Linked DNA regions of Mus musculus: all the other regions are reported to be linked to region 1. The links are microRNA targets in miRTarBase. Many come from high-throughput screens and were not tested one by one. Region 1 holds a microRNA gene; each other region holds the end of a gene's coding sequence. Distances are from middle to middle.

Region 1 (8,056 bases):
TGAGAGAACAACCCTCAAAACCACTCAGGAATTTTCATCAGACATTGTGCTCTCAAGGACCTGCTATGTGACGCCATGTTATGAGGGATTATCTAGTAACCCCCTGTACCACTCTGTTTTCTGTTTCCACACATGAGATGGGGCTTTGTAAAGAGGATGTGCAGATCTTGTGGAGAACCTGAGTTTGATTTCTAGCACAGCAAAGGTCAGCTCACAATTACCTGTAACTGCAGGCAGGGATCTGATGCCCTCTTCTGGCCTCCTTGAGCACTGTACTCACATGCATAAACTCCACAGACACACATACATGCATCATTTTTTAAAAACAGAGACAGAATTCTTTGGCTCACAACTGAAGGGTCCAGAAGAATGGTGCTGATATCTTCTGGTCCTGATGAGGTCTTCCTGGCTGCAATATAACATGGCAGACAGCAAGATGGTAGATGGTAGGGGCTCAAGAGGAGAGACCACACAGAAAAGCTATTTCAAGCTTCTTCCCTCTCTTCTCTCCCTCTCCCCTGCATTTTTAAGGCAGTCTAACTCTACCCCAGGCTGATCTAGAACTCACTCTATAGCTCAGGCTGACCTTGAACTGAAGAGTTATCCTCTGACCTCAGCCTCCTAACTGCTGAAATAGTTAGGGGCCCACCATGCCCGGCATTCATGTTACTGCTTTTCAGTAGTATGTGTCAATTATACATAAAGGGGTTCATCCTGACTTATTCATAGACGCACATAGTGTATTTCCATCTTATTTACCCCCTTACCCTCTCTTCATCACAATCGCTAATCATCTTCCTCTTTCCAACTAGCCTCTCTTCTAATTTCACACTGTATGTTATTTGGTATTGGGGGAGGGGAGGGGAAAGAAGAGACCAGGAACCTGTGCAAGCTCAAATCAAAAAAATCATTAGGGCTGCTAACAGGAACATGGGTAATTTATTTACAGGAGCATTGGAACATTAACCAGCGGCTACCCCATCAACCATTAACTGCATATAAGCCCTCAGGGCCTACCGGGCTCACTCTGTAAGCCAGTTTTTCTGGAACTAAGCACTCAAGCCCAGCAGCAATCTCTTGTCCGTGTAGTAGCCCCAGGGCCCTCATTGCTTTCACTGGGCATATCCATTTAAAGGTTCCAGTAGGGTAGCTCTGTAGGAGAGTTGATTTGGAAACTGAAGGGTTCTTTGGAAAGTCAGTTGGATGGTGTTTTGCTGGGGCAAATATGTGAAGGAATGTTTTCCCAAAGTGGACACAGATAAAAGACCAAGGCAGACTCCAGACTCGTGAAGGAACATTTAGCTAAAGCAGACACAGGTAAAAGAATGTTCTCCTAAACCAAGCACATGAAAGGACATGTGGTGGGTTCTTTGCTAACAACATACATGTATTGTTAGCCTCACACTGTGTAGCTGAGCTACATCTGTTGGGACTCCATAGAGAGAAATGCACCATAAAACTTCTGGTAGTGTGCTGCAGTTTCTTGCCACTTCCCTGGCCTTGGGCTGATTGGCAGAGTGATATCTGTTGTGGCAAGACACATGCTGAGGCAAGACCTGTGGAGGACACGTGATGTTTGGAGGAGATAAGTAAGACTTAGCAGTGACAGAGGCTTAGCTAGGTTGCTTACAGAGCTAGTTGTGCAATGCTTGTGGGTCTTGAGTCTGCCCTCATCTTCACTTCCCTGAGAGAGGCATAGCCAAGAACTGGTTTTCCTCTTTGTCCCTCCTGCTGACTCAAGCAGAGGCTGAGGCCTGGCTGTCTCTGCTAGGTCATGCCCGATTCGTGTTTGCTATCCTCATTCCACCAAACTAGACTGCTGGTGTATTGTGAAGTGTTTGTGAGTGGATCGAGCTGCCGCTGCTGACCAGTGAACTGAACTGCTGATTTCCTGACAACCCAGATGGGAGTGGCTCCAAAGAACCTTTCTAAACAAGTCCACTTCTCCCGAATCCTTTCTTTCCCACTACTTCTGGTGGGTGGTGGGCTACAAGGGAGGTTAAAGCATTTAAGAACCACCATTAAGGGCCGGCGAGATGGCTCAGAGGGTAAGAGCACTGATTGCTCTTCCAAAGGTCCTGAGTTCAATTCCCAGCAACCGCATGGTGGCTCACAACCATCTGTAATGGGATCTGACACTCTCTTCTGGTGTGTCTGAAGTCAGTTACAGTGTACTTATGTATAGTAATTAATCTTTAAAAAAATCATTAAAAGTAGGATTTGAAAAAAATTAAAAAGTTACTGGAAGAGTATACAAATATCATGCAGGAAGCCCTGGGCTCAATCTGCCCCCAAAAGTTTCCATTGCTACACTCTGGACTAAGGTTGCACTAAAATTCCTGGAGGGCAATCTACATGTGTTCTAGAGCAATACCAGATTCCTTATGCTCACCTCCCATCCACCCCATTGCCAAGAATGTTGGCTTAAGGTACTGTGTGCCACAGCCTATAGGCTGGAGCTGCTCAGGAGACTAAGATGGGAGGAGGATCACTTAGGCCTAGGAGATTTGAGCCAGCTTAGGCTAACAAAGTGAGATCAGGTCTCCAAAAACCCAAGTAAGGGGCCTGAGATGGCTCAGTGAGGGAGGGGCCTGCTGCACAAGCCTGAGACCCTGAGTGCAGAACCCCAGTTCTCATGGGATTGAGTGAGTGTGGCAGCCTGCATCTCTAACCCCAGTGCTGACACGGGACACTGACACACACAATCTGCAGGGTACAGCAATGTCTGTCTGGAACTTAAGGGAGAGACAGAATGAGTAAGATCCCTCTGCCCTATCTTCATTAATACAACACATGACTTTCATAGCTGGCCAGAAGTCGAGTGGTACCCAACTCCCACCTTGTTCACAGAGTGCATCTCTGGGAGCTCTCTCTCACCTTTGATGTCACTACAACTCCAAGAAGACACTTCCCTGGCAAAGGTGGGGGTAGAAGATCCCTACAGCTTTTTGGCCAGCTGGCCTTTTGACTCTGCTAACTCCAGGTTCAGTGAGACTCTGACTCAAAAAATAGGGTGGAAGACCAGGCAGGTTGGTGCACTTTTGATCTCAGCACTCTAAGGCAGAGCAAGTGGATCTCTGTGAGTCTGAGGCCAGCCTGGTCTACAGAGCTAGTTCCAGGATAGCCAGGACTCCATAAAGATACCCTGCCTTTATGTTTATAATAAGTAAACAAACAAGTAAGGTGAAGAGTGATCAAGAAGATACTGGAGGTTAGCTTTTGGCCAGAGGTCACACTACCCATACTCCCACCTTCCACATAGAAGCCAGAAACATATGATTATAATCCGGCTGGAAGGCTAAGGCAGGAAGCAGGCAGATCCCTTTGTTGTTGTTTTGTTTTGTTTTTCCAGATAGGGTTTCTCTGTGTAGCCCTGGCAGCCTTGAACCAGGCTGGCCTCGAACTCTTGAAACCCACCTGCTGCCACTGACTGGCTCAGGAGGATTCTTACTAGCCTGGGCTACAGGGTAACCTGGGCTATCCTGTCTCAAAAGGACCTAAATCAAAACAAAGATTTAAACAAAATGAGGGGTGCGATTTTATGATTGAACGTCTTCCCTCCCCCAGAACAGTGCCTGGAGCACAGTCAATGCTCCGGAAACTTCCCGTAACTGAACACACTTCACTGTCTACACCACCTCTACCCTAGGAGGCCTGGCAGGGAGGCATTGTGAGTCACAGCTGGCAGACAGGTGGGTGCCATAACCCAGAAATGGGGCCAGGCCTGGGACAGCAGCTTGGGCACCGCCACCACATCTTCCAGGTGAGGAACAACTCACAAGGAATGTCAGGAAACAGTCTACTGGGGAAGTTGTAACCTCAAAGATGGATGTGTAGGGACTTCCAGAGACTCGCTCCATGAGTTAAATCAGGGGGTGGGGGAGAACACCTGTCTCTGCCCACCTGCACAATTCTGTTGGGTTTAATGAAGGTGTGGCAAAGGAAACCCGACAGCAGTTTTCACTCCTGCCCTCGATGGCAGGAGAGGTATTTGAAAAACCACACTGTAGAATCAGCACTTTATAGGTGTTGTGAGAAGAGTTAGGAAGCAAGTAAGATGGGTTCTGGTAGTTATCTGGGCTTTAGATTCCTATCAGTAGTTGGCTAGGAACAAAAGTTAACTCTAGTGTGCAGCATTCTAGTTACTTGAAAGCTAAGTATGGGTCTAGGCTAAGGCACCTACCTGTCTGTCCTATGATGTCATTGATTACACTGGATGTTAATACACGCCTTTCCAGCTGGACCAGGAACATCTTGAGGATAGACAAAGGCTGTGCTTGTGGTATCCTCTGTGCAGGCCAGACCTGGCATGGAGCAGGTGCCAGTGCTAGAATGTGCTAGACATCTCACCAGACAGATGCTCTGCCGAGTTCACACTAACCCTGACTTTGCAGCCATCAGCAGCCTCCCTTAAAGAATGACAACCACAATGTTCAATTTCCCTGTACTGTACCGAAAAATGCCCTCTGGCTCACCTTTCTAGCCTACGTTTCTGCTATTCTCGGAACCAATCCTATTTGTCGGCTCTTTCATGCATCTGGAACATGACAGCCCTTTGCCTCACAGCTGTCAGCAAGAAAAGGCCTGTCCTACTTGCTTGGCTACTGATCTCTACTTGTGGCCCCCTACCTGTGGTCTCTTCCAGCATTTCAGAGAACGTGGTTTCTGGGCCTTTACATTATCTCTTTTTTTGTTTGTTTTTCGAGATAGGGTTTCTCTGTGTAGCCCTAGCTGTCCTGGAACTCACTTTGTAGACCAGGCTGGCCTCGAACTCAGAAATCCACCTGCTTCTGCCTCCCAAGTGCTGGGATTAAAGGCATGTGCCATCACTGCCCAGCCCTACATTATCTCTTACACACCTACATCCTAGATAAAGGGTCCCGGGGAGGTAATTTTGGTGAACACGGCTGGTGTGACTATGCAGGAATGGGCTCCCCTACTAGCCTACAACTGCAGAGTCTAGCCTGAGCAGGCCGCTCACAGGCCATTTGCTTTCCAGCAGTGCCACTGGCTCGCCTTCACCATTCCAGAACATCAGGGTTCCAGACACCCGCGCGCCCCGCGTGGCCCACACCACCTTCACCCTGGAGGCCTTTGAGTGCCTGGCGGCGAGCCAAGCGGGCCGCCTGTGGAAACAGGTGAGGCAATTCTGGGTCGACCACTTCTCGCGCCGCTTCTCGCCGCGGAGGCCACCGCTGCGCCATATCTCATCCATGTCCACCTTCTATCTGCTGGACCACCGCACGCGACAGGCCGAACTGGGGCTCAACTACGGCGAGCCGCGCACCCGACTGAGCGACGAGGCCTTCGTTTTCCGCGGCGGCCGCTGGACCCCAGAGGGGAAGCGCGCAAGCGCGCGCACGCCTCTGCCCTCCTCCACCATCCCGGCCTGGAAGCCACAAGTGCAGCCGATTAAGAGCCAGGTGCTGCTGGAAGAGAATAACTACCTGAAGCTGCAGCAAGAACTGCTCATGGACATGCTAACAGAGACTACGGCGCGCATGCAACTGCTGGAGAAGAAGGTGGACGCGGATAACAACCCTGCGGCCCCGGCGCGCTCCTGGAAGAGAAAGATGCCCAAGCAAAGGGGCGCGGGAGTACTTATAATCCAGCCGCGCGCTCTGGAGTCGCGGTGATGCAATAAAGTTGTACCTAAAGCAGGGCCGCGAGTACGCGCCTCGCCTTGCCCCGCCCCGCCCTGGTGGCCCGGGTGGTCCACTTCCCTTGAGCATCCGGGTTTTCCTTGGGTGGAGCTGCGTGTGGCAGAGATAAGTAGGAGGGGGAGTTAAAGCGCGTGAGACGCTTGGGCAGTGCGGGAGAGGGCGCTTGGATTTTTCTCCAAACCTTAGGTTCTGCTTTCCCACACTCTTTGTTTTGTTTTCTATTGGCGAAGACTGTGATTTTATCATACGTGGAATAAAGACTTCTGTTTGACCCAGCATTAAAAAAAAAAAATGTATAGGAAGGGGTGGCGCACGCCTTTAATCCAAGCACTCGGGAAGCAGAGGCAGGCAGATCTCTGGAGTTTGAAGCTAGCCTCTATAGACCTAATTCCAGGCCAGCAAAAGCAACACAGAGAAACTAAAAAAAAAAAAAAAAAAAAAAAAAGCATTGGGGCCACACATAGCATATATGTGTGAGATGGTGTGTGTGTGAGTGTGTCTCAGGAAAGTGAGACATAGCTCAGTGTTAGAGCACTTGTCTAATTTATACAAGGCCCTATGTTCAAACTCCAGGACTATAATTCATTTTAGAGATGGGGTTAGGTATACCAGACTGGAACTCATAATATCCACCTGTCTTTCTCCACTGCCATTTTTTTCTGATAAAAATGATGTGTCACCACACCCAATAGCAAATAACTACTTAAACATGTTTCTAGTATACTGGATGTTGTAGAAGAGCTGATAATACCCAGGAGAGGCTGAGTCACGGTATTTGTGTATTTGACTCTTTGGGGGCGGGGTGGGGGGGCTCTTCTTTAGTGACCAAATGCACATCCCTTGTAGGAAAGACCCACAGTGGGTGGTGAACTCAGAAAGCAGAGGTCATGGGACCAGAGCCTCTGTCTACAGACAAGCACTCTACAGTTCAACCTGCCTGCCAGCTCAGGTAGCAGGTAGCAGCTGAGATTGGAGCAAGGGCCAGAAAAAAAAATGGTCAGTGGTAAAGAGTGCTTTGCAGAGTGGAACACTGCATACATGTGTTTGCACCTGTAATCCCAGGTAGCGCCTGGAAGTCTGAAGCAGGAGGATTGTCTTAAATTCAAGACTAGACAGGTCTACATAGTTGCAGGCCAGCCTGAGCTACAGAATAAGTCCTTGCCTCAAATACACACACACACACACACACACACACACACACAGGAGCTTAATTCAGAATGGATTTGAGGACCCCTTTTCTGAAATACCTGGGACCCAGGAGTATATAATTTTTTTTATTGTTTTGTATTTTATGAAATTTTGCTTTATGTTTTGCCTACATGTGTGTGCACCATATAATTGTCCCGTGCCCTCTGAGGTCATCAGAATCCCTGAAACTGGAGTTAGGGATGGTTGTGTGTAGCAGTGAATTAGTTAAACCACTTTGGCTCCTGGCATACTTGACCAAAAGCTCTCTGGAACACACATAAGCCAGCTAACTTTGATATGCCTTGACTAGCTCAAAGGCTGGACATTTCTAATCCTCCCCATGGCTGTGACTAACATACATTTCTCCTCAGGATTCCTGGCTTAACACCTCCTTTTTTTTTTAAGACTTATTTATTATTATACCTAAGTACACTGTAGCTGTCTTCAGATGCAGCAGAAGAGGGCATCAGATCTCACTATGAATGATTGTGAGCCATCATGTGGTTGCTGGGATTTGAACTCAGGACCTTCAGAAGAGCAGTCGATGCTCTTAACCACTGAGCCATCTCTCCAGTCCCAGGACTAACACCTTCTAAATCTTACTTTATCTTTGCTGCCCTGTTACCTTCTGGGCAGCCCCACCCCCATAAGGCAGCATTTCCTTTCCACCTACATCATTGGATGCTTTCTGTCCTGCAGCTCTTAAATCTGATCCTCCTGCCTCCAACTCTCTTCTCTCTCTCCTGTCCCTGGCCCATGCAATCTAAAGACCCACCTCTCCTTTTCTGCCCAGCCACTCTGAATCTTTCTTCTTCTTCTCCTTCTCCTTCTCCTTCTCCTTCTCCTTCTCCTTCTCCTTCTCCTTCTCCTTCTCCTTCTCCTTCTCCTTCTCTTCCTCCTCCTCCTCCTCCTCCTCCTCCTCCTCCTTCTCCTCCTCCTCCTCCTCCTCCTCCTCCTTCTTCTCCTTTTTTAAAGGAAGAGCAACGCACTGTATTAGGAAACACACAGGAGCACTGACACAGGATACACAGGAAAAACCAAGCAGAGAAGTCAAGTCTGGGCTCACTCTTGGTTAAATGTCACCAAGGGGAAAGGCATTGACTTCTTTCCCTATTGTGTCACCGTTGCATTATCGGTGACTCTGAGTTTATTACTAATGTGCTCAATCAATGCAGCAGGCCAAGGCTTCTGTAGCTTGGCAGTGT
Region 2 (8,056 bases), not on the chromosome of region 1:
TCTGGTTCTGCTGAGGCCCAGGAACCTGGCTGGGGCAGGGACTGGAGGCGCGGGACGGCGCCTGGAGGTGGGTGCGGAGCGGGAGGCCCTGTAGCCGGGTGGGCGGGCGGGCTGGGGTCGACGCCTGTGTCCGTCCAGCCGACTGACGAGGGGTCAACTCAGCGAACCAGGGCGCAGAGCCCAGCGCTCGAGCCGCCTGCTTCCTGGCCGGTGCTCCCTTCTCTCTGATATCACTCCAGGCTATCACTGGGCAGAGGACACTTCTTCCCTTTTGCCCTCATCCTCCTCACCCTGTCTCCCTTTGTCGTCTTGGCATCTTCACTCTCCTGGTTGAACCGTTGGGTAGCTTTACCACCCCGCCTTGCCAGCGCCGAATTGTACTAGCGCCTTCAGACACCATCCATCTGGCTTTGTCATCTGTACCATCTCACCTGTTCATCTCGACTCTGTCCGTTCAGTCTACCACCTGCCTTCAGCCATCAAAATTCAACCTAGGTCCTCCTCCTCCTCATCTCCTCTCAGGGGACTCCTCCCTGGCACCCTGAATGTCCCCTACACCTGCCCCGCTCAGCCTCAGCCCCAGGCCTCTCCTTGTTTTTGCTCCTTTGTTGTCCCTGCAGCTGTCTCCTGGTTGTCTTTACAGCTGTGCTTTAGCCTCTATTCATCCTTCCACCCCATCAATACCAAACCCCAGCCCAGAATTCTCTCCACTTCGGACCAGAAACACTCGACTCTGCCAGCTCTCTTCTGGGTCTAGCCCTCTCCTCCCACAGCCTGGCCATCTCATGTCTCTTTCAGCTGGCCTGGTCTCCTCCAGCTTTCTGCATTCCAGAGAATTGCTCTGGCTTCAGGGGTCCCGACCTCTTCTGTTCTTCTTGCTCTCAGCCATTGGCACGCTCTCCTACTTTTCTTCCCCCAGCAGCTTCCCAGGGAGTCATGGAGCTGAACACCAAGAAGAAGCTTCACGCCCTGTCCCTGGCTGAGAAGATCCAGGTGCTGGAACTCTTGGATGAGTCTAAGATGTCCCAGTCAGAGGTGGCCCGGCGCTTCCAGGTCTCACAGCCCCAGATCTCACGGATCTGCAAGAATAAGGAGAAGCTGTTGGCAGACTGGTGCAGTGGCACAGCCAACCACGAGCGGAAGCGGAAGCGTGAATCCAAATACAGTGGGATCGATGAGGCTCTACTGTGCTGGTACCACATTGCCCGAGCCAAGGCCTGGGATGTAACGGGGCCCATGTTGCTCCACAAGGCCAAGGAACTGGCCGATATCATGGGCCAGGATTTCGTGCCTAGCATTGGCTGGCTGGTCCGCTGGAAACGTCGAAACAATGTGGGCTTTGGGACTCGCCAGGTCCTTGTCCCTCTGTTCCCTCCTGAAGCTCCTCCTGCAGTTCTCCCATCTCAGGCCCAGCCACCTCTTTCTCTTAAAGACTTCTCACCAGAAGATGTTTTTGGCTGTGCTGAAGTACCCTTGTTGTATCGCGCGGTGCCTGGCAGAGTGTTTGAATGTGATCGGTTGCAAGTACTGTTATGTGCCAACAGCAGAGGCACAGAAAAGCGAAGGGTATTTGTGGGTGGGCTCCAGGCGGCCCCAAGATGCTTCTTTGGGGTGAGCAGTGAGGCACTGCCTACCTCTTATCACCCTGACCTAGCCATTCCCTGGTCAGAGTGGCTGGCACAGTTTGACCAGGACATGGGACAGCAGGGCCGACAGGTAGCCTTGCTACTGGCTTCTGGAGTGGTAGAGGAATGGGCCAGCCTTCCTGGACTCCATCACGTTCGACTCCTGCCTCTCTCTGCCTCCAGCACCACTCCTTCCCTGCCTGGCTCTGTGATTTTGGCCTTTAAGGCCCATTACCGTCACCGTCTACTGAGCAAACTGGCTGCCATGCAGAGTGGGAAAGAGGGCACCTCCCTGGCGGAGGCCAGGGCTAGCATCACAGTTTTGGATGCTCTGCACATGGTGGCCGCAGCTTGGGCCAAGGTACCTCGCCAGCTCATTTTGAGCAGCTTTGTTCAAGAAGGGCTCGCTCCGGGCAAAACACCACTGTCCCTGGACAAAGACACTGAGATGTCACCAGTCCCTAGTGGGCTGAGCCAAGAGGAGTTTTCTCACTTTGTGGACCTGGAGGATGAGGACCCAGGGCCTAGAGTGTGCAAAGAGGAGACGGGTACTGAAGACAGTGGGAGGGAAGAAGATGGCTTTGAGCCCCTGCCCACCAAAGCCGATGCCCTGCAGGCACTGTGCACCCTGAGGAGGTGGCTTGAATGCAACAGTGCCTCTCCAGAACTCTTTGAGAAATTCTATGACTGTGAGGTGGAGGTGGAGCAGCTCTGCTGTCTGTGAGGAGGCATAGCTGCCTATTAGTCTCCCTCTCCTGTTTCCCATGGAAACGCCTCTCCAGAGACAGACTGGCTCTTTCCTGTGGAAATAGTATGTGGAGGGTGTAGAAGGGAAGGAAGTTGGAACACAAAGTCTAAGGTCAGAGTAAAAGTTGTTCAGGCCTAGAGTTTCTACGGATGGGGCCTCAAGAGTGGAAAGCTGGGCTGTGTAGCTTCTAGGCCCTGGAGAAACTTCTAGAGCTTTGTGGAGAGTTAGTCTAAATAGGGTAGAACCTAGAAAGGTGGACCGACTTCCTTTTTTTGTTTTTTGTTTTTTTTTTTTCTTTGAGACAGGGTTTCTCTGTGTAGCCCTGGCTTTCCTGGAACTCACTTTGTAGACCAGGCTGGCCTTGAACTCAGAAACCCGCCTGCCTCTGCCTCCCAAGTGCTGGGATTAAAGGTGTGCACCACCATCGCACAGCATGGACAGACTTCCTAACAGTGGCCCCATTCCTTGAATTTTTGTGTCAAAACCAATTCTGCTTCAGGAAATAAAGTTTTTAGCCACAAAGTCAGGATGTGGAGGACCTTTCTTCCTTCCTTCCTTCCTTCCTTCCTTTCTTTCTTTCTGGAATGTAATCTTGTATAGCCTGGGTTGACCTTGAACTTGCCCTATGACTGAAGATGATTTTGCACGTCTGCTTGCCTTCCCCTCTAGGGCCAGGATTATGGGGGTTTATGTGATACTCTGTATTAAACTTTTTTTTTTAAGATTTATTTATTTATTATATGTAAGTACACTGTAGCTGTCTTCAGACACTCCAGAAGAGGGCGTCAGATCTTGTTACAGATGGTTGTGAGCCACCATGTGGTTGCTGGGATTTGAACTCCGGACCTTTGGAAGAGCAGCTGGGTGCTCTTACCCACTGAGCCATCTCACCAGCCCTCTGTATTAAACTTAACCCAGGGCTTTGAGCATACTGAGCTAGTGCTATGCCTACTGAGTTTCCCCCCCCCCCCCCCGCCTCCTCAAAGCATGGCTTACATGAGAGAAGGGTGAAGTCTTTCTATCAGGAAGAACCCTTCATACACGGACCGTGCTTACAAGAAGAAAACTTGAAGAAAGGTCTCAGGGCGACTCAGACCTTTGCAGTTCTTACCACTTCAGCATCAGACTGTGTGGTGTAGTGGCCAGCAGCAGGGCAGGGCAGGACAGGACAGGGCAATGAGCTCTGGAATAATCATTCATTCACTACACTTTTCATCCATTTATTCATTTTACCACAGTTCCTTTTATCATGATATCCTATGTGGCAAGATTGCAAAGGTGACATCCCTGCAAAGCAGGACCAGAAAGCAATGACAGGCAAGTGCAGAATGCTTTGGCCCTACAAAGCCCAGTGAAACCCAGTAGAGGTGAGCTGGTTTTGCTGTTGTTTGTATGGTGATAGCGTTCTGGTTTTGAGACAGGATCTCACTATGTAGAGCAGGCTGGCCTTAAATTCTTGGAGTTCCACCTGCTTCTACCTTCTGAGTGCTGGGATTAAAGGTGTGTGCCATCGGGGCTGGAGAGATGGCTCAGTGGTTAAGAGCACTGACTGCTCTTCCAGAGGTCCTCAGTTCAAATCCTAGCAACCACATGGTGGCTCACAACCATCCGTAATAATATCTGATGCCCTCTTCTGGTGTGTCTGAGGACAGCTACAGTGTACTTACATATAATAAATAAATCCTTAAAAAAAAAATTGTGTATGCCACCATGCCCAACCTTGGTTTTCTTTTTAATTTTTATTTATTATTTATGTGGGGTGGGGGAAGCACACACACGTGCACACTTGCTACCATGCACAAATGTAGGTCAGAAGACAGCTTTGTGGACTTGGCTCTCTCCTTTCTCCTCTATGTGGGTTCTGGGAATCAAACTCAGGTCTCCAGGTTTTTGTGGGAAGCGCTTTTACCTGCTGAGCTGTCTCACCAGCCTGTGATGAGTTTTGATATTGGAGCCCTGAATAGAGAGAAAAGTGGAAAGGATAGCAAACCAAAGGAAGTAAGCATGGGCCAACTGGGGGTGAGGGAGCACCCCTGGGTGTGGCATATGTGGAGGTGAGATGTTCTGAGATCCCCCCAGTAAATTGGACATAGTAACCCTGTGTTAGCAGTGGTTAGCTGTAGGTGTTTGCAGTATGGGTATATTACACACACTGTATGGAACACTTACCTGGGAGCCATTTGAGGTCTAGTATTTTGACCTATGACCAGGTCATTCATTACACGGGAAACTTGTTTATATTGGCAGATACCCTGTAGCTCTTGTCTGTTTCATGGCCAGTGTTATGGTGGCACTCGGAGCTGAACTGCTGAACTGTGTTCTCCCGGTGAGTGGAGAGAGAAGTCTCAGAGGACAGATGCAAGTGTGCCGTGTAGGAGAATAAGGTGCAGATCAGCTAGTCACTCATTCAGTTGGCAATGAAACCAACACCACTAAATTCTTTTGCTTTTGTCTTCTATCTTTTTTTTATTTTTTTATTTTTTATTTTTTTTTTTTTTAAGATTTGGAAGGTTTTAGAAATCTGCCTGCCTCTCCCTCCCAAGTGCTGGGCTTAATGGCATGCACCACCATGCCCGGCACAACAAAGGCTCCTAACAATGAACTGTCTCTGTAGCACAGCTCCCCATCTCTCTGTAGGAGTGCTGGTTCATAGATCCACACCAGCACATCAGGATTTCTCTGTGGTTTCCAGGGATGGAGTTAGGGGTGTGCAGCAGTGTTCTTAGCATTGGGTCCTCTCCACGGCTCATCTTTTGCCTTTTGTATTACAGCCGTTCTAATAGAGGTGACATAATTAATGTACCATCGCACTTTTCATCTCATTTCTCTTAATAATGCTCAAAGTCATTTAACATTCCTGCGTCTTTGTGTTTAACCCACCTTAGCCTTCAACTTTTGTCTGCCGACAGTGTCCAGAATGGTGGATTACAGATGTGTATCCAGAAGGGTGGATTACAGATGTGTATCCAGAAGGGTGGATTACAGATGTGTATCCAGAAGGGTGGATTACAGATGTGTATCCAGAAGGGTGGATTACAGATGTGTACAGGCTTGCCCAGCTCTTTTGTTGGTTGGTTGGTTTTAGTGCTTGTTTTGAGGCAGAGTCTCATCATGTACCGCTGCTGACCTGGGACTCACTGTGTAAACCAGGCTGGCCTTTGACTCACAGATCTGCCCTTGCCTCCAACTGGGATTAAAGGCACATAACACCTGGCCCAGCCCCTTGTCCAGCTCTTGCTGGCTATCTGTATCTTTTTCATGAAAGATGTCTACTCAGAGCTGGGTGTAACACTCTGTCTCAGCAAGAAAGGAGAGAGGGGGCTATATGTTTAGGTACTCTGCTCATTTCATCATGGGTATTGGGGAATTCTTCACCTTTCCAACTTAAACCTGTGGAACACTCAGTGGCTCATCTCTAGAAAAATGTGTAATTGTTTCTTCTGAATAGAAGGGGGCACATAAAGATGATGCAATATGCCAGGCACTCGGGAGGCAGAGGCAGGCGGATTTCTGAGTTCGAGGCCAGCCTGGTCTACAGAATGACAGAGTGACAGAGTGTCTCTGGACAGCCAGGGCTACACAGAGAAACCACGTCTCAAAAAAACAAAACAAAACAAAACAAAACAAAACAAAAAAAAAACAAGGAGGAGGAGGCTGGGAGGCTGGAGAGTTGGCTCAGTGGGTAAGAGCACTGACTTTTCTTCCAGAGGTCCTGAGTTCAAATCCCAGCAACCACATGGTGGGTCACAACCATCTGTAATGAGATCTGATGCCCTCTTCTGGTGTGTCTGAAGACAGCAACAGTGTACTCACATTCATAAAATAAGTAAATCTTAAAAAACAAAAAAGGGAGAAGAAGAAGAAGAAGAAGAAGAAGAAGAAGAAGAAGAAGAAGAAGAAGAAGAAGAAGAAGAAGAAGAAGAAGAAGAAGAAGAAGAAGTTGTTTCCCCAAGGCCTAAGAATTCAAGGTTTAGTATGCTAAACTCCAGGAGGCAGCCCTGACCCCCACAGCCTTGCCTCGTGTCCCCTATTTCTCAGACTTTAGGAAGTTACCTCACATCCTGCTCAGTTAGCAAGCCTAAAGCATGTTTGTAAAACTTTATTTTTCTGAGTCATGGTCTCTTGTAACCCATTCTGGCTTTGAACTTGATATCTAACAAACCTTGACCTGACCTTTTGCCCCCACCTACCTAGTGCTAGGATTATAGGTGTGTGTCACCATGCCCCGTGTACATGATAAGGGGACCAATCCAGAGCTTTCTGTGTGACAAGCACTCTACCCCTGAGCTGCGTCCCTGGACTCTCAGAACTGTTTCTTGGACAGCCCACTAAGCTTTGATGATAAGGAGCTAGGAGTAAAGTCTACTCCATGCATGGTTTAGGGTTTTTGTAGGCCAGGCTAGCCTGGAACTCACATAGATTCTCCTCCTCTGCCTCCTAAGTGCTTATAGGCATTTTAAAGATTAAAGGCAGAGTTCTTGGTTTAGAGAGGCAGATATACTCAGAATCATACAGAAAAGACACTTGGAGTGTGTAATTACAGACCAAGAAAGAGGGGTGACATGAAAAACATGTCTAGTGGTTCTCCGTGTGTGGCCTACAGCTGCAGCTGGAACCTTAAGGAAATATACATCCTCCTACCCTCCCAAACCTCCCCAAACCCTAAGGTTTGACTCAGCAAAATACTTGAACAAACCCTCCAGGTGCTTTGGAACCATTGGTTGGCATAGCTGGGGGAAACAGATGTCTTGAAGGAGCCAAGAACTGAAAGATGGGGAGTTACAAACTCGGGGAGAAGAGCGTGAGCAGATCCTTGCAGCAGACCCGGATGTGTTCAGCAGAAGTAGGCTAAGGCGATCATCAAGAGCAAAAGTCTATGGCATCCTCTGCTGTGGGGAAGGAGCTCAAAGTAACAAGAGGCTGTGGAAGAATACAGTCTAGCTAGCTAGCTATTTATGGTTTTTCGAGACAGGGTTTCTCTGTGTAGCCCTGACTGTCCTGTCCTGGAACTCACTCTGTAGACCAGGCTGACCTTGAACTTAAATAAATCTTTGAAAAAAAAAAGTATTAAAAAAAAAACAAACAAACTACCACCACCACACCAAACTGGCTAAGACCCAGGCAATGGAGGAACACACATTTGATCCAGCACTCAGGAGGCATAAGCTGGCAAATATTTATTTATTATATGTAAGTACACTGTAGCTGTCTTCAGACACTCCAGAAGAGGGCATCAGATCTCATTACGGGTGATTGTGAGCCACCATGTGGTTGCTGGGATTTGAATTCAGGACCTTTGGAAGAGCAGTCAGTGCTCTTACCTGCTGAGCCATCTCTCCAGCCCTATTGTTGTTGGTTTTTGTTTTTAATATTTTTATGCTGGGTTAATGCCTTTAATTCCAGTACTCAAGAGGCATAGTCTGGTGGGTCTCCCTCGCAAGGCCAGCCTGAACTACAGAGTGAGTTCCAGGACAGCCATGGCTACAGGATTTCATGGAGAAATCCTGTCTTGAACCCTCCCTCAAAATATTTTTTTAAATTATTTTGTGTGTATGGGTATTTTTGCCTCCACGTGCATGCAATTCCCATATAAGCCAGAAGATGGCATCAGATCCCTCAGAGTTACAGATGAGTGGGCTGCCGTGTGGATGTTGGGATTTGAACCTGGTTCCTCTGGAAGAGC
Region 3 (6,431 bases), not on the chromosome of region 1:
GTCCAGTAAAAAGGGTCTGGGCTGAGGATGGGGTGGAGGCGTCTTTAAAGAGAGTTCGGTATGTAAAGATACTTGCCTCCAAGCCTGACAGCTTGGTTCAATCCTGCAGACCCACATGGTGTTAGGAGCGAACAGACTCTCAGAAGTGAATAAATTTCGCCTTCCCAGACTCCTCAGAAATGTGTATGACATTTAATTTATGTATTTACTTATTTATGAGACAGGGTTTCTCTGTGTAGCCCTGGCTGTCCTGGAACTCACTCTGTAGACCAGGCTGGCCTCGAACTCAGAAATCCGCCTGCCTGTCTCCCAAGTGCTAGGATTAAAGGCGTGCGCCACCACTGCCTGGCGACATTATATTTCATTTAAAGGTTTTTCCTGTGTAGGCCCGAGTGTCCTGGAACTTGCTCTGTAGACCAGGCTGGCCTCGAACTCACTGAGCTCCATCTGCCCCTGGCCTCCAAGTGCTGGAATTAAAGGTGCATGGACCACCACCACCCACATTCATATTTTTAAAAAATACTTATTTATTTATTATATGTAAGTACACTGTAGCTGTCTTCAGACACTCCAGAAGAGAGCATCAGATTTCGTTACGGATGGTTGTAAGCCACCATGTGGTTGCTGGGATTTGAACTCAGGACCTTTGGAAGAGCAGTTGACACGCTTAACCGTTCAGCCATCTCACCAGCCCCAGATTCATATTTTTTAAAAGATGAATGGAGCTCTCTTGAGTGTTCAGGTGAGGACGGTTACATAAACAAAAAAGACAGCTGTGCGTTTGTGTTTTGGTAGCAGAAACAGTTACTGTGCCTCAAAAGAATAATGTAATAAAAGCCACTGGTAGCTCTGAACTGCAGTTTACTAAAGATAGAGTGGGGTTCCTGTCCTCTGACCTGCAGTCAACCTGACACCACTGCACTTGACCACTGAAGCCTAGCTTCCTTTTCCATCCCCTCCTTCCGGGACACTCCTGACCTTTTTCTCGTTAAGCATCTGCAAAGATGGGGCCCATGTTCCCGTGAATCTGAGCCTGACACCATGCAGGGATTCATGAATAATTGCTATGTTCCTATCCTAACGCAATCTAGGGTACTTAGCTACTTTCCTTCCCAAAGACAGAGCTGGGTGAGGGCAGCCTGGTCTACATAGATGGCCCCAGCACAGCCTGGGCTACACAGAGAGACCCTGTCTCAAGCAAACAAAACAAAAAAGCCCTAAGGGCCCAGAATCATTCTCCCATCATGCACATACAATGTCTGTTAGTGCCACTGGTCAGGAATAGGACCATTGTCACAATTTTTGAGACAAATTTGAAGTGAGCTTTAATAAATAATGGCCAGGACAATAGACACTAGCTAGGTCCATACCCAGAATTCCCAGACTATGGCATCAAATTGCTTACAAAGGCAAAGCCCACAAGGCTATGTACTTTCTGCCTTCATCCACTGGAGGCAAGTATACCTCTCACCTATATGTGGTCATCACATCCTGTGCAGTTGGGGCCACCAAGCTTGTTTGCAGAAGTTATCTTACGTGGACAACAGCCTCCAGCAATCCAGGAAGTTATCTGTCCTGGGCCAAGTGGGACTTACAGGTTAGAGGCTTTTTTTTTATATAGGTCTCTTAAGCACAGTAATTTAAACTTAAAACATACCTTTAGCCCTCATATGTTCTCCCTGTTAGATTATTTAAAAAGCAGTTGTAGAGGGAGAGAAGACAGAGCAAGCCTTGGTCTGACCTTAGGTAGGATCATGTTTATTAACAATGAGGGAGCGTTTTGTCACCCACACATGCAGGTGGCCAAAATGGCCACAGGAGAAGCCCTCTATAGAGGTAGAAATGACTTACTAGTTCACAAGAGGAGACTGGGAAATGTAGTCCATCAGAGGGGAAGCTGGGAAGTGTAGTTCTTCATCAGTAAACGATCCCTGCCCTACCCCCTTGTTGGTGTTACACTGGGGAAAATTGAAGCCTTGAACACTGCCCATGATCCAAGCTTGTGTTCGGGTTATCCCTGTGTGTTGGATGCCTGAGTGCTCCTGTCATCTTCAGGGCTGGCCTCACCTGTGGCCAGAGAGAGTCACATGCGCACCCAGCCCTTTGTCACAGTTATTTGCTCCAGACTTTTCCCTCAGTGGTTCTGGAGACTATGCCATTGTCCTTTCCCAACGCTTCCTAGAAATGCACATTCCAAGCTGATGTGGTTGTGTGTGAACATGGTACTGGGAAGGCTGAGGCAGGAGAATGGAAAAAGCAGGTGAGCCTGAACTACATAGTTCCAGACCAGCCGGGGCTATACAGCACCAACCCAGTCATTTTGCAGTGTGGAGGACATTCAGCCTGCACGCCTACAGGGAAGAACACAAACTTATAGAGGAAGCTGTCCCACAGGCCCTTTTAGTTGTAGGAGAGGCAGAAGAGACAGAGAATACATTTTTCTAAAAAAAATCACATTTATTTGTTTTTTGTTCCCCACATTTATTATGGACCCTTTTCCCTTAAACAGTTGTGGTTATTTTTGGTGTATCCATTCAATCCTTCTGCTGTTCCACTAGTTTGCATACTCATTTGCATAAATTCACCCACACCTGCTTTTAATAAACAAATGAACCAGCCTTGCTAAGGGGCTTACAAGTCAAGACATTGCTCCCTGCTGCTCACTGTCTGACTCCTGAGGTGTTCCTGAGAATGGAGAGACTCCAAACCAGTGGGAGTTTTGTCTGATAGGGTGGCAGGAATATTCTCTACTGATGAGAAACGTCCAGAAAGGGGCAGCTCAAAGCAAGGCAGAAGTTTCTACTTTTTTTTTTTTTTTTTTTTGAGACAGGGTCTCATGTAGCCAGAGCTAACCTCCAACTCCCTAAATAGCCAAGGAAGACCTTGAACTTATGATCCTCTTGCCTCTACTGCTTGAGTGTTGGGATTACAGGCCGATGTCACTGCCTGTCACTCCACAGTTTATAAGGTGCTGAGATTGGACTCTGGGCTTCAAGCCTAGAGAAGTCCTCTGACAACTGAGCTGCACCCTAGTTCCTGGTTTCTTTTCTTTCCTTGGGACAGTCTTATCTTCTGTGTAGCCTAGACACTTTGTCTCTAGAACCACATTCTCTCTCCCAGAGTCCTTTCTTATCCCATCTGGATCAACCGTGCTGAGATTATATGATTCCTCCTGATGTGCTTGCATGAACCTGGAGCTCACTAGGCCTCCAGGAGACTCAGGCATGGGAGACACACACCTTCACTGTCTACACTTAGGAGTATGGGCAGCACCTGGTTTCTTTTGTTTGCTTGTTTCCTTTCTAAAGTGTGAATTACAGGAAACACACACCACACCCACAGCTGTATAGTACACCTGAGAGAAGTGGGTACTTATTCCCATTAACGCTGCTGGTAGTAGATGGGGAGGGAGAGAGGTGGTCATGGCTGATGACTATACAAAGATTTGGAGCCAGTGGAGAAAGCAAGCAAGTTGAGGTTGAGGAGGCAGAGGTCCGATGCTCTCCCTACCTAATTCTAGCCCCACTTAACTGATCATACGTGTAGTTCACCATGCACTCCCTGGTGTGTTTATATAAAATGCTTTATAAATTAGTAAGAGCCAAAGGTGTCCTTAAAAGTAATAAGTTATCTGGCAGGCCCTTTTCAGAGACAGCCACGGCCCGTCCCATCACAATTCCTAAACAGTTTCCTTCCGAGATTGCCCGGTTTGGATTCCAGTTTCCAAACACTGATGCCCTTGGGCTCCCCACTGACTCACAGGCTGAGAGATGGTTTGACACGCTCTTTGTGATAGCCCTTAAGCACCAGACTTCACCCAGACCAAGAGTAGCTTTCTAAACACCAAATCATTGTCTTTGGTTTCTATGGACTACCACTTTAGCCCAGATCCTGTGATCCTGGGGTCACAGGCAATGAGGTCACCACACAGCACCAGGGGGCAGCTGCACAGAGAAACTTCCTAGCTGCCTCCAAAAGTAACAGAACCCTTCCCAGAGGGACAGACAGTATAGCACCCCTCACCCACCCATCATCTAGACACTGTTGCTCCAGATAAAAGGTCAAGCTGGACTGGGGGTGGAAGGCAGGGTGCCCTCAGCTTTGGCCTCTCCTGGACCAACCATGAGAAGAATGTCCAAGTTCACTGGAAGCACGGAGACCAGCAATTTACAAACCAAGATTGCAGGCTCTCAGGTCTTCAGTATTGTAAGAACATGATTGATGTCAGAATCCAGACTCTGCTCAGGTCTCTTCACAGACACTGACAGGCATCTCATAATATTTTACCCCAGAAGTGAGTCTGTCAGCATCGAAGGGGTTTACATCCTGCTCCCCACCCCCTGCCTGCCTCGAGCCTGGCTGTAGGCTCTTGCAGTCAACCTCCCTCATCCTCAAAAGCTCTAAAGAGAGAGTCCCTCCTCTGCTGTGTGGGCTCAGAATCTCTTCAAAGACCCCATCCTGCTTCTATCTCCGATGCCGGGGCCTGAACTCCCTGGTAGCCCCGACTATGCTGTTGTCCTTCTGTCTGTCTGTCCATAGCATTAAAAACTCCTCCAATCAACTTGATAAACCACTTACTCCCCAGGAATTTCTCTCAGAGTTCCCTAGAACTCCACACCTCACCCAAAACCTAATAGATACCTGTAGAGAGAATATGTTATGGATTATATAGATGCATCCACCTGTCAATTAAAAAAAAAAAAAAACCACACCGGGCATGGTTGCGCACGCCTTTAATCCCAGCACTCAGGAGGCAGAGGCAGGCGGATTTCTGAGTTTGAGGCCAGCCTGGCTTACATAGTGAGTTCCAGGACAGCCAGGGCGATACAGAGAAACCCTGTCTCGAAAAACCAAAAATAAATAAATTAATTAATTAAATTAAATTTGGAAAAAAAAAACAAAAACAAAACCATGGCCTATAGGAAAAGGTGGAATAGAAGGTGGAACATCCAGGAGGCAGAAAGAATTATGGAAGATTCATCCGGAAAGATGTGAAGAGCTGGACTCATGGTACCTGAGCACAGGCCACCAGCCATGTGGCAGGATGGAGGTTAAAATTAATGAGTTAAGTTATGAGCTAGTCTGAGAAGAGCCTAGCTATATGGCCAAGGTATTTGTAACTATAATTTGGGTCTGAGTCTTATTTCTGGGAGCATGGGGCTGAGAGGAAGAACCAGCTGTAACTTCTACAGATGCCAGAGAGGGTGGAGCCAGGCAGGGGTGCAACCCAGAGCCACAGCTTCCTCCTGCCTTCAGTGCTGAGGTGTCAGTCCCATCCCTTAAGGCCTTCTCCACCACCTGAACACCCACAGCTTCACCCACCAATAAGCCCTCACCTGGGCCATGGGTTCCCCCCACACAGCACCATGTTCCTTGTCACCTGCTTGACACTGAGTCAAACATTGCTAGAATGTTTGCACAGCCTGAGCACCAAACCTTGCAGTGGTTCTGGCAGAAGAGGCATGCTGAAGAGACAGCTGTGCCTTCCCTTTGGTTTTCAGCCCTTTGATACAATGGAGGCCAAGGAATTGGGATTGTCCCAGGAATCTCATGCTAGGGAGAGAAAGAAGGAACCTTGAAGCCCAGACAATGGTGGGCAGGACCACGCCCTGATTCAGACTGTTTATGTGTAACTCTGTTTAAACTTAAGCCTCCTGTTGGTATCTTAAAGATTAACCGGGTGGGGGCTTGAACCTTTTTATATTCGAATAAACCTGCTTTCTCTGCTACCGGTTTCTTTAATGGCATGCTGGGGACAGGCGGCTGAGCCTGGCTTGTTAAGGCTGTCACCACCCAAGCTCTGACCCTAAGAGCTCTGGGAACAACCGGGAGGGATGCCTATCTGGCCCACACACCCTGGGCCCAAGTATTTACCTGGTAGAGGGGAGCAGGCACATCGTCATTCGGGCACAAACCTGGGATGTCGCCCATTGTAGCCACTGGATATCATCCTGGATATCAGGGAGCCATGTCACCAGCCTGTGGGAAGGAAGCCAAGGACACTATTGGCTTACAGGTGATTCTGGTTTCCTCCCAGGGACCTAACAACAGAGACCTAGCAACAGCTTAGGTCATCACCTGCCTCCATTGCTACCTGAGCTGCCACCAGGTGTGGGTGGCCTGGGAGCTTGTAAGAGGACCATGTTACCCCGGTCCCCTTCTCTATCTCCCCTTTCTTATTCTCTCTCTCTTTCTCTGTCCCCACATGTTCCCTGCCAGCCTCCCTGTCTCTGTCTCCCCCTTTCTGTCTCCCCTCCCTTGCCCCACAATAGACCTCCCTTATACCAGCCAGGTCTGTCACATGGTGGGATTTCTCAGGGAGACACCTTGGCATGGGCCCTCCAGGTGGCCCTTTAATCCTGTGTTATTTTTCATAACAGACACCATGCATGTATACTTCACATAGAAACACAGATGCAGATATATGTACA
Region 4 (8,056 bases), 27 Mb from region 1:
TGAAAAGACACAGTACAATGAATTTTGGTAAAGTACTATGCTCCTTCTGCAGTGGCACAATAGCTGTGTTAAATGATTATAGCTTCGAGACTGAACAGAAGTCACAGAAATCAACACTTAGAAAACTAAAAATTGCCTACTGCACCCACAAAATTAAAGGGAATAAAAACTACAACCAAAGTTTCATTTACTAGCCATTGAAGGAAATCTTAATTGATGATAATTACTACAACAGCCAAAGAAATTTATCCACAGTCTCTAAGACTGTTAGCCTATCGGATTTCTGAGTTCGAGACCAGCCTAGTCTACAAAGTGAGTTCCAGGGCTATACAGAGAAACCCTGTTTTGGGGGGGGGGGGTAAGAGAGGGTAAGAAAAGGGAAAAGGTTGTCAGGGATATGATAGTATGATAGTTCCTACAATAGTAAGCTTGCCCATCCACAGTGTTCCTTCTGAAGGAAGTTACTTAGGAAGGGAGACCTGTCCACTTGGCAAGTGGATTTATGCAGCTCATTTTGCAAACTTTATTAACCAACCACTGATTTTGTTTATAGACAACACCAACTGGGCAAGTGGTGAGGATGACCACGTAGTTGCAAGAGCAGAGTACGATTTTGTTGCCGTGTCTGATGAAGAAATTTCTTTCCGTGCTGGTGATATGCTAAATTTAGCCCTCAAAGGTAACAAATCACAAATAAGTTGTAATTATCTTGAGTTTTTAATAATTGTAAAGGTACTATTTGAAACTGAAACAAAGGACCCTGCTCACTGGCTAACATGCAGATGGTTACCTGAGTTTTGCTTTTGTCTTTTTTTTTTTCCAGATGAGATTGAGATGGGGTCTCACTGTGTAGCCCAGGCTGGCTTCAAACTTATGGCAGCCCTCCCTTAGCCTTCCAAATGCTAGGATCACAAGTGTTAACCTCCACTGACCCCATTACCCTCTTGTCCCCTCCCACCCTTGCTGACCCCCTTGCTCTTCCCACTATTATGAGTCCCTGTGTCAAAACACAGTAAAGTCAGAGAAAATACCCCAGAGTGTTAGAACAACACTTCCCTGTATAATCTCTTCTAAATTCAAACCCTTGACTTCCAAGCTCTGTTAATCCCAGTACAATATACAATACTTAAAGTATTTTCTCAGATTCTAATTTAAAATCTGAAAGACATTTCAAGGCAGGACTATTAAGTAAGTATAACATATACTTATAATACTGTATTTTTACTATATGTTATATTTTATTTACGATAAATTTAAGAATGAAACTGAAGCTAGATACATATCTATTGTCCCTACTACTTAGGAGGCAAAAGCAGGAGGATTGCCAACTTGGGTAACTGAGATTCCATCTCTTTACTTTAAAAGAAAAATGGATCTAGACCACTAATTAAGTGTGCTAGTATTTGCTTTTGAGTGTGTGTGCACATACTATTCCTTAACATAATCTCACTGTGAGACTGATTTTTTTAAATTAAATATTCTCTTTATTTACATTTCAAATGTTATCCCCTTTCCTGGTTTCCCCTTCGAAAACCCTCATCCCCTTCTCCCTCCCCCACTCAGCAATCCACCCACTCCTGCTTCCTGGCCTTGGCATTCCCCTACACTGGGGCATCAAGCCTTCACAGGACCAAGGACCTCTCCTTCCATTGATGATCGACAAGGCCATCCTCTGCTGCATATGCGGCTGCAGCTGTGGGTCCCTCCATGTGTACTCTTTGGTTGGTGGTTTAGTCCCTGGGAGCTCTGGGAGTACTGGTTGGTTCATATTGTTGTTCCTCCTATAGGGCTGCAAACCCCTTCAGCTCCTTGGGTCCTTTCTCTAGTTTCTCCATTGGGGACCCTGTGCTCAGTCCAATGGTTGGCTGAGAGCATCCACCTCTGTATTTGTCAGGCACTGGTGGAGCTCCTCGGGAGACAGCTTTATCAGAAGGCTCTGATTTTGCTTAACATACATTATCATTAATATTCTGTTGGATTCCAAAATGTACTTAAAAGCTGTCTTTCTCTTTCTTCAGAACAACAACCCAAAGTGCGTGGTTGGCTTCTGGCTAGTCTTGACGGTCAAACAACAGGACTTATACCTGCAAATTATGTCAAAATTCTTGGTAAAAGAAGAGGCAGAAAAACAATAGAATCGAGTACAATGCTCAAGCAACAACAGTCTTTTACCAACCCAACATTAATTAAAGGAGTCACTACCACCAATCCTTTGGATGAACAGGAAGCTGCCTTTGAATCTGTTTTTGTTGAAACTAATAAGGTTTCCAGTGCACCTGATTCTACAGGGAAAAATGGAGACAAACAAGATCTTTGATGTGTTTCATGTTTGTGGGCAGGTGAACAATATTTTAGAGTATTTTAAAAAATCATTTCTTACAGAGAAATTAATTTGCAGTTGAATGAAAGCATTTGCTCGTGGCTGTGCCGAGTGTTCTGCTGCTAGAAGTTATGTAGTCACACGCTAGCTGCTAGTCAAGTGATCTGTCTACACTTGACTGTCTTGTGGACCACGAGGACATTTGTTTCACCTAGTTTTTAAGATTATGGAGATAGTTGTCAGCTCCATCTTATCTCAGTCCCTAGGCTTATTGGAACAGTAAATTTGATGAACAGTAGAACACACAAGCTGCCTCAGAAGGGATCATTAACGCTTCTTAAAGTTCTGAGTTAGTTGACTTGAAGTCTTCAAAAATTGAGTGATAACATCTACTTATAAGAACAGACAAAAGGCTAATTTTTTTAACCTTATAAATAAACTAAATAATAAAAATTTTCTCATCTGTATTATGTCCAGTGTTGAATTTACTTTAGGTGATGTGTTTTTACCAGCAAATAATTGATAGTATTATCTTTTATTGTATTTATAAAAGTGTGTTCTTAAGAGGTCACTGGAGCACTGTGAAGAAGATGGTTCTGACTGACAGCTTCTTAACCTCCTTACAGTGTCACAGATCTCATCCTGAGCGAGTCACAATATATAGCTAGATCTCATCCTGAGCGAGTCACAATATATGGATTTTTGTTCTTTTCCTCCAACTAAGGCAGGAGTCCTTTAAGATTATACTTAATGATATAATCAATTCTGGCAGTAATGATTTTTAATCCTGAATTTTCTGCTTCTATATAAGATAATTACTTTTGTAAATTCCAAAATCAGGTTATACATTAAATATTTGAAATATGTCTGTCGGGGTTGGGGATTTAGCTCAGTGGTAGAGCGCTTGCTTGCAAGGCCCTGGGTTCGGTCCTCAGCTCTGGAAAGAAAAACACAAAATAACAAAAGGACCAAAAAAACCCAAGGTAACTGAAATATGTCTGTCACATTGGATAGATTTCTTGTGGTTTTCACTACTGAGACTATAATTTGCTTGCTATTTCAAATACGATGACTTTTTGTTTGGTTGTTTTTTTTTGCTTAATAGTGAATTTTATGTGTTTCCCCATAGAATTGGAAGCTTTATACGCTTGCTGTGAATATACTACAGATTAGAACTGTCAGAAATAAATCACAGAATTCATTTATAGACACTACTAACAGCTGTGGGTTTTGATAAAAAGTGATTTGGGTTTTGCTTCTTTCATATAGATAGGTTTATCAAATAAATAATTCTGGAGGAGTTCATATTAAACCATGTCTAACCCAATATCTGCTCAGAACAGAAGCACTAAAGACTTCCTAGGAAGCCCTTTTTTGAAATGACAATATAATAAGTAATGTATCTTTTCATCTTAAGATAGAGAGAAGCATTTACGGTACTCATTTATCTTTTAGGCTGATTTTTCTGACATTCAGTAGTAACTTTTCAGTTGAGAAAGGGGGTTGAATAATCTACCACTGAGGCATGGCCCTGACTCTCAAAGGTTTTAACAAATATTTACTTCTGACTTGAGATGCCTGAACTTTTCTCATGTCTAAATGTTACTCCAGACATCTAGACTAAGCACTAGGAGTAAAGTAGAAATAAAATGTTGAGTCAGCACTATTTAGGTTTGGGGTGTTGTTTTGTTTTAGAAGATGAGCTTTAAAATAGGATTTGTGACTAATATTTCAGTTGTATAGGAAAGAGCTTAGACAAATAAATGATAAAACTTTCTTTTAGGGTCTTTATTGTTTGGCTGTCTATGCTAGATTATATAGTATTAACCTAATAACTACCTGTGTCCATTCTTTTTTATTTGTTTGTTTGTTTGTTTGTTTGTTTGTTTCAAGACAGGGTTTCTCTGTATAGGCCTGGCTGTCCTGGAACTCACTTTGTAGACCAGACTGGCTTCGAACTCAGAAATCTGCCTCCCAAGTGCTGGGATTAAAGGCATGCGCCACCACCGCTCGGCCTGTGTCCATTCTTTATTAAAGTCTTAGAAAAACAGTTGTAGGACTAGAGTGGCAGAAAGTTTTGTGGTTTAGAGTAAATGAATAGATTGGTCACAGCTCCAATATAATTTTAGGGACTTCCTGAAGTAGCATTACATCACAGGAAACTACACTTTCAATTAAATAATTCATAAGCTACAGTAAGAAACTAGATATCAGAAGCTTTAATTGTATTTTGTCAGCTTGGGAAGAAAAAGATTAAAGGACTATAAATGCATTTTCATGTTCTACATCTTACTCAAGTCTTAGCCAATTATTCATTTACCTGAGTGCAGCGGCTCTTTATTTTATGCTGTCTTTACTGGAAAAAGAAATGAAATACAGTTAAATTTGTATTTTTAATAGGTTGTGAAAATACTTTACTGGAGAATTAAAAATATTTGAAACTTAATTTCTTTTTTTAAGATTATAGCTGCAACAGAACCATAACATATACTCCACACAAAGCACAGTACAATGTGAATGCATGCATGTTCCTCTCTCTGCTAATAACAAGAAGAGTGTTTCTTTTAGTGTTCACATGTACTGTTAGTTAAAACGCATTAAGTGGTAAAGGGGTGTTTATAAGAAGAACCAAAGAACTCTTCTAACAAATAGATGTCATGTTCTAAATGTGATAAGTGAGTTATTAATGGTATGTGATTTTCTTTGGTTTGTAACACTATGACTTTACCGTATTTTCACGTGTACATTTCACAGAAGATTCTACGTTATAGCTGGAGGAAAAGTACTTTATCAAAGATGCTACACAAAACAAAGTACAGCCTGAATGCGTGTGTATTTCTCCTGTGCTAAGAACCAGAAGAGTGTTTCTTTTCACTTGTACACTCTGATTAAACACGTTAGGCGATATCACTGTGTTTAAGAAGAAAACAAGACTGTTTCTCACAACAGACGTCATGGTCTAAATGCAGTAAGTAAGATCAAACATCCTGATATTTTCTTTACAACGCTGGCGTTACTTTACTGTATTTCACCAGCACATTTCACAGAAGTCTGTACAATGCATTATAGTTGCAACAGAAATACTTTACCATAGATGCTTCACAAAGTACAACATGACTGCCTGAGTGTTCCTCTCTGTGCTGTTATGAAGAGTGTTTCTTTTATTGTTCAATTGTAGTTTAAACTCAGTAGATGGTAAAGACTTGTTTTTCAAAAGAAAACTGGGGAGTTTCTCAAAGAAACGTGTCCTAAGTATGATAATTAAGTTCTTAATCACATGTGATTTTTCTGTAGTCTGCAACACTGTATGTCATTTGTTTATTTTCTTTTATTTCCATCATCTTCCTTTTTTCTTTTCTTTTTTATTAGATATTTTCTTTTTTTTACATTTTAAATGTTATCCCCTTTCCTAGTTTCCCCTCCAAAAATCCCCTATCCTCTACCCACTCCCCCTGCTCCCCAACCCACCCACTCCCACTTCCTGGCCCAGGCATTCCCTATCCTGGGGCATAGAACCTACACAAGACCAAGGGCCCGTCTCCCATTGATAACCGACTAGGCCATCCTCAGCTACATATGCAGCTAGAGAGCCATGGGTCCCTCAGTATGTTTTCTTTGATTGGTGGTTTAGTCCCAGGGACCTCTGGGGTTACTGGCTAGTTCGCATTGTTGTTCTTCCTAGGGACCTACAAATCCCTTCAGCTCCTTGGGTACTTTCTCTGGCTCCTTCATTGGGGACCTTGTGCTCCATCTAATGGATGACTGTGAGCATCGACTTCTGTATTTGTCAGGCACTGGCAGAGCCTCTCAGCTATGTCAGGCTTCTGTCAGCAAGCTCTTGTTGGCATCGGCAATAGTGTCTGGATTTGGTGGTTGTTGATGGGATGGATCCCCAGGTGGGCAGTTTCTAGATGTCATCTGAACTTTGTCTCTGTAGCTCCTTCCATGGGTATTTTGTTGCCCTTTCTAAGAAGGAACGAAGTATACACACTTTGGTCTTCCTTCTTCTTGAGTTTCATGTGTTTTGCAAATTGTATCTTGGGTATTCTGAGCTTCTGGGATAATATCCACTTCTCAGTGAGTGCATATCATGGGTATTCTTTTGAGATTGGGTTACCTCACGTAGAATGATGTCTTCCAGATCCACCCATTTGTCTAAGAATTTCATGGATTCATTGTTTTTAATAGCTGAGTAGTACTCCATTGTGTAAATGTACCATATTTTCTGTATCCATTCCTCTGTTGAGGGACATCGGGGTTCTTTCCAGCTTCTGGCTATTATAAATAAGGCTGCTATGAACATAGTGGAGCATGTGTCCTTTTTACAAGTTGGAACATCTTCTGGATATATGCCCAGGAGAGGTATTGTGGGATCCTCCGGTAGTACTATGTCCAATTTTCTGAGGAACCGCCAGACTGACTTCCAGAGTGGTTGTACAAGCTTGCAATCCCACTAACAATGGGGGAGTGTTCCTCTTTCTCCACATCCTCTCCAGCATCGGCTGTCACCTGAAACTTTGATGTTAGCCATTCTGACTGGTGTGAGGTGGAATCTCAGGGTGGTTTTGATTTGCATTTCCCTGATAATTAAGAATGTTGAACATTTTTTCAGGTGCTTCTCAGCCATTTGGTATTCCTCAGTTGAGAATTCTTTGTTTAGCTCTGTACCCCATCTTTTAATAGAGTTATTTGACTTTCTGGAGTCCAACTTCTTGGGTTCTTTATATATATTGGATATTAGTCCCCTATCTGATTTAGGATTGGTAAAGATTCTCTCCCAATCTGTTTGTGGCCTTTTTGTCTTATTGACAGTGTCTTGCCTTACAGAAGCTTTGCAGTTTTATGAGGTCCCATTTGTTGATTCTCAATCTTACAGCACAAGCCATTGCTGTATGTTCAGGAATTTTTCCCCTGTGCCCATATCTTCAAGGCTCTTCCCCACTTTCTCCTCTATAAGTTTCAGTGTCTCTGGTTTTATGTGGAGTTCCTTGATCCACTTAGACTTGAGCTTTGTATAAGGAGATAAGGATGAACCAATTCGCATTCTTCTACATGCTAACTGCCAGTTGATCCAGTATCATTTGTTGAAAATGCTGTCTTCTTTCCAATGGATGGTTAGCTCCTTTGTCAAAGATCAAGTGACCATTGGTGTGTGGGATCATTTCTGGGTCTTCAATTCTATTCCATTGATCAACCTACCTGCCCCTGTACCAGTACCATGCAGTTTTTTTTATCACAGTTGCTCTGTAGTACAGCTTGAGGTTAGGAATAGTGATTCCACCAGAGGCTCTTTTATCATTGAGAATAGTTTTTTCTATCCTAGGTTTTTTGTTATTCCAGATGAATTTGCAAATTGCCCTTTCTTATATTTTTGGATGTGAGTCTAGCCTTTAACGGCTGAGCCATCTCTCCAGCCTGCAAATTGCCCTTCCTAGCTCTGTGAAGAATTGAGTTGGAATTTTGATGGGGAATGCATTGAATCTGTAGATTGCTTTCTGCAAGATAGCCATTTTGACTATGTTAATCCTGCCAATCCATGAGCATGGGAGATCTTTCCATCTTCTGAGATACTCGATTTCTCTTCAGAGACTTGAAGTTCTTATCATACAGATCTTTCATTTCCTTAGTTAGAGTCACACCAAGGTATTTTATATTATTTGTGACTATTGTGAAGGGTGTTGTTTCCCTAAATTCTTTCTCAGCCTGTTTATCTTCTGTGTAGAGAACAGCCACTGA

The links. The annotated mature microRNA mmu-miR-804 reads UGUGAGUUGUUCCUCACCUGGA and lies in region 1 at 3,759-3,780, opposite strand. An mRNA with a match to its seed (bases 2 to 7 or 8) in the 3' UTR can be bound and repressed. Matches are read on the target gene's strand: a 7mer-m8 pairs with bases 2 to 8, a 7mer-A1 pairs with bases 2 to 7 and ends in A, and an 8mer does both.
Region 2: miRTarBase lists Tigd3 as a target of mmu-miR-804. Seed matches in the 3' UTR shown: 7mer-m8 at 2,709-2,715.
Region 3: miRTarBase lists Pnpla3 as a target of mmu-miR-804. Seed matches in the 3' UTR shown: 7mer-m8 at 4,801-4,807.
Region 4: the mRNA of Pex13 is a reported target of mmu-miR-804. Seed matches in the 3' UTR shown: 7mer-m8 at 4,248-4,254.

The regions. Positions count from the first base shown.
Region 1 is chr11:50,354,041-50,362,096 of GRCm38, forward strand. It overlaps Mir804 (microRNA 804), which reads right to left and starts at 3,839; the gene lies at 3,745-3,839. Cby3 (chibby family member 3) reads left to right here and starts at 3,721. Exons shown (of 2, transcript NM_029691.1): 1 at 3,721-3,763; 2 at 5,000-5,662. The coding sequence starts at 5,214. The coding sequence ends at 5,636.
Region 2 is chr19:5,885,981-5,894,036 of GRCm38, reverse strand. Tigd3 (tigger transposable element derived 3) reads left to right here. Exons shown (of 2, transcript NM_001362045.1): 1 at 1-67; 2 at 920-2,899. The coding sequence starts at 937. The coding sequence ends at 2,349. Among named protein-coding and RNA genes, the nearest start is that of Tigd3, 4.1 kb to the left of the region's middle.
Region 3 is chr15:84,185,525-84,191,955 of GRCm38, reverse strand. It overlaps Pnpla3 (patatin-like phospholipase domain containing 3), which reads right to left. Exons shown (of 8, transcript NM_054088.3): 8 at 2,435-5,979. The coding sequence ends at 5,871. Among named protein-coding and RNA genes, the nearest start is that of Samm50, 3.5 kb to the left of the region's middle.
Region 4 is chr11:23,643,553-23,651,608 of GRCm38, reverse strand. It overlaps Pex13 (peroxisomal biogenesis factor 13), which reads left to right. Exons shown (of 4, transcript NM_023651.5): 3 at 554-679; 4 at 2,019-4,326. The coding sequence ends at 2,317. Among named protein-coding and RNA genes, the nearest start is that of 0610010F05Rik, 14 kb to the right of the region's middle.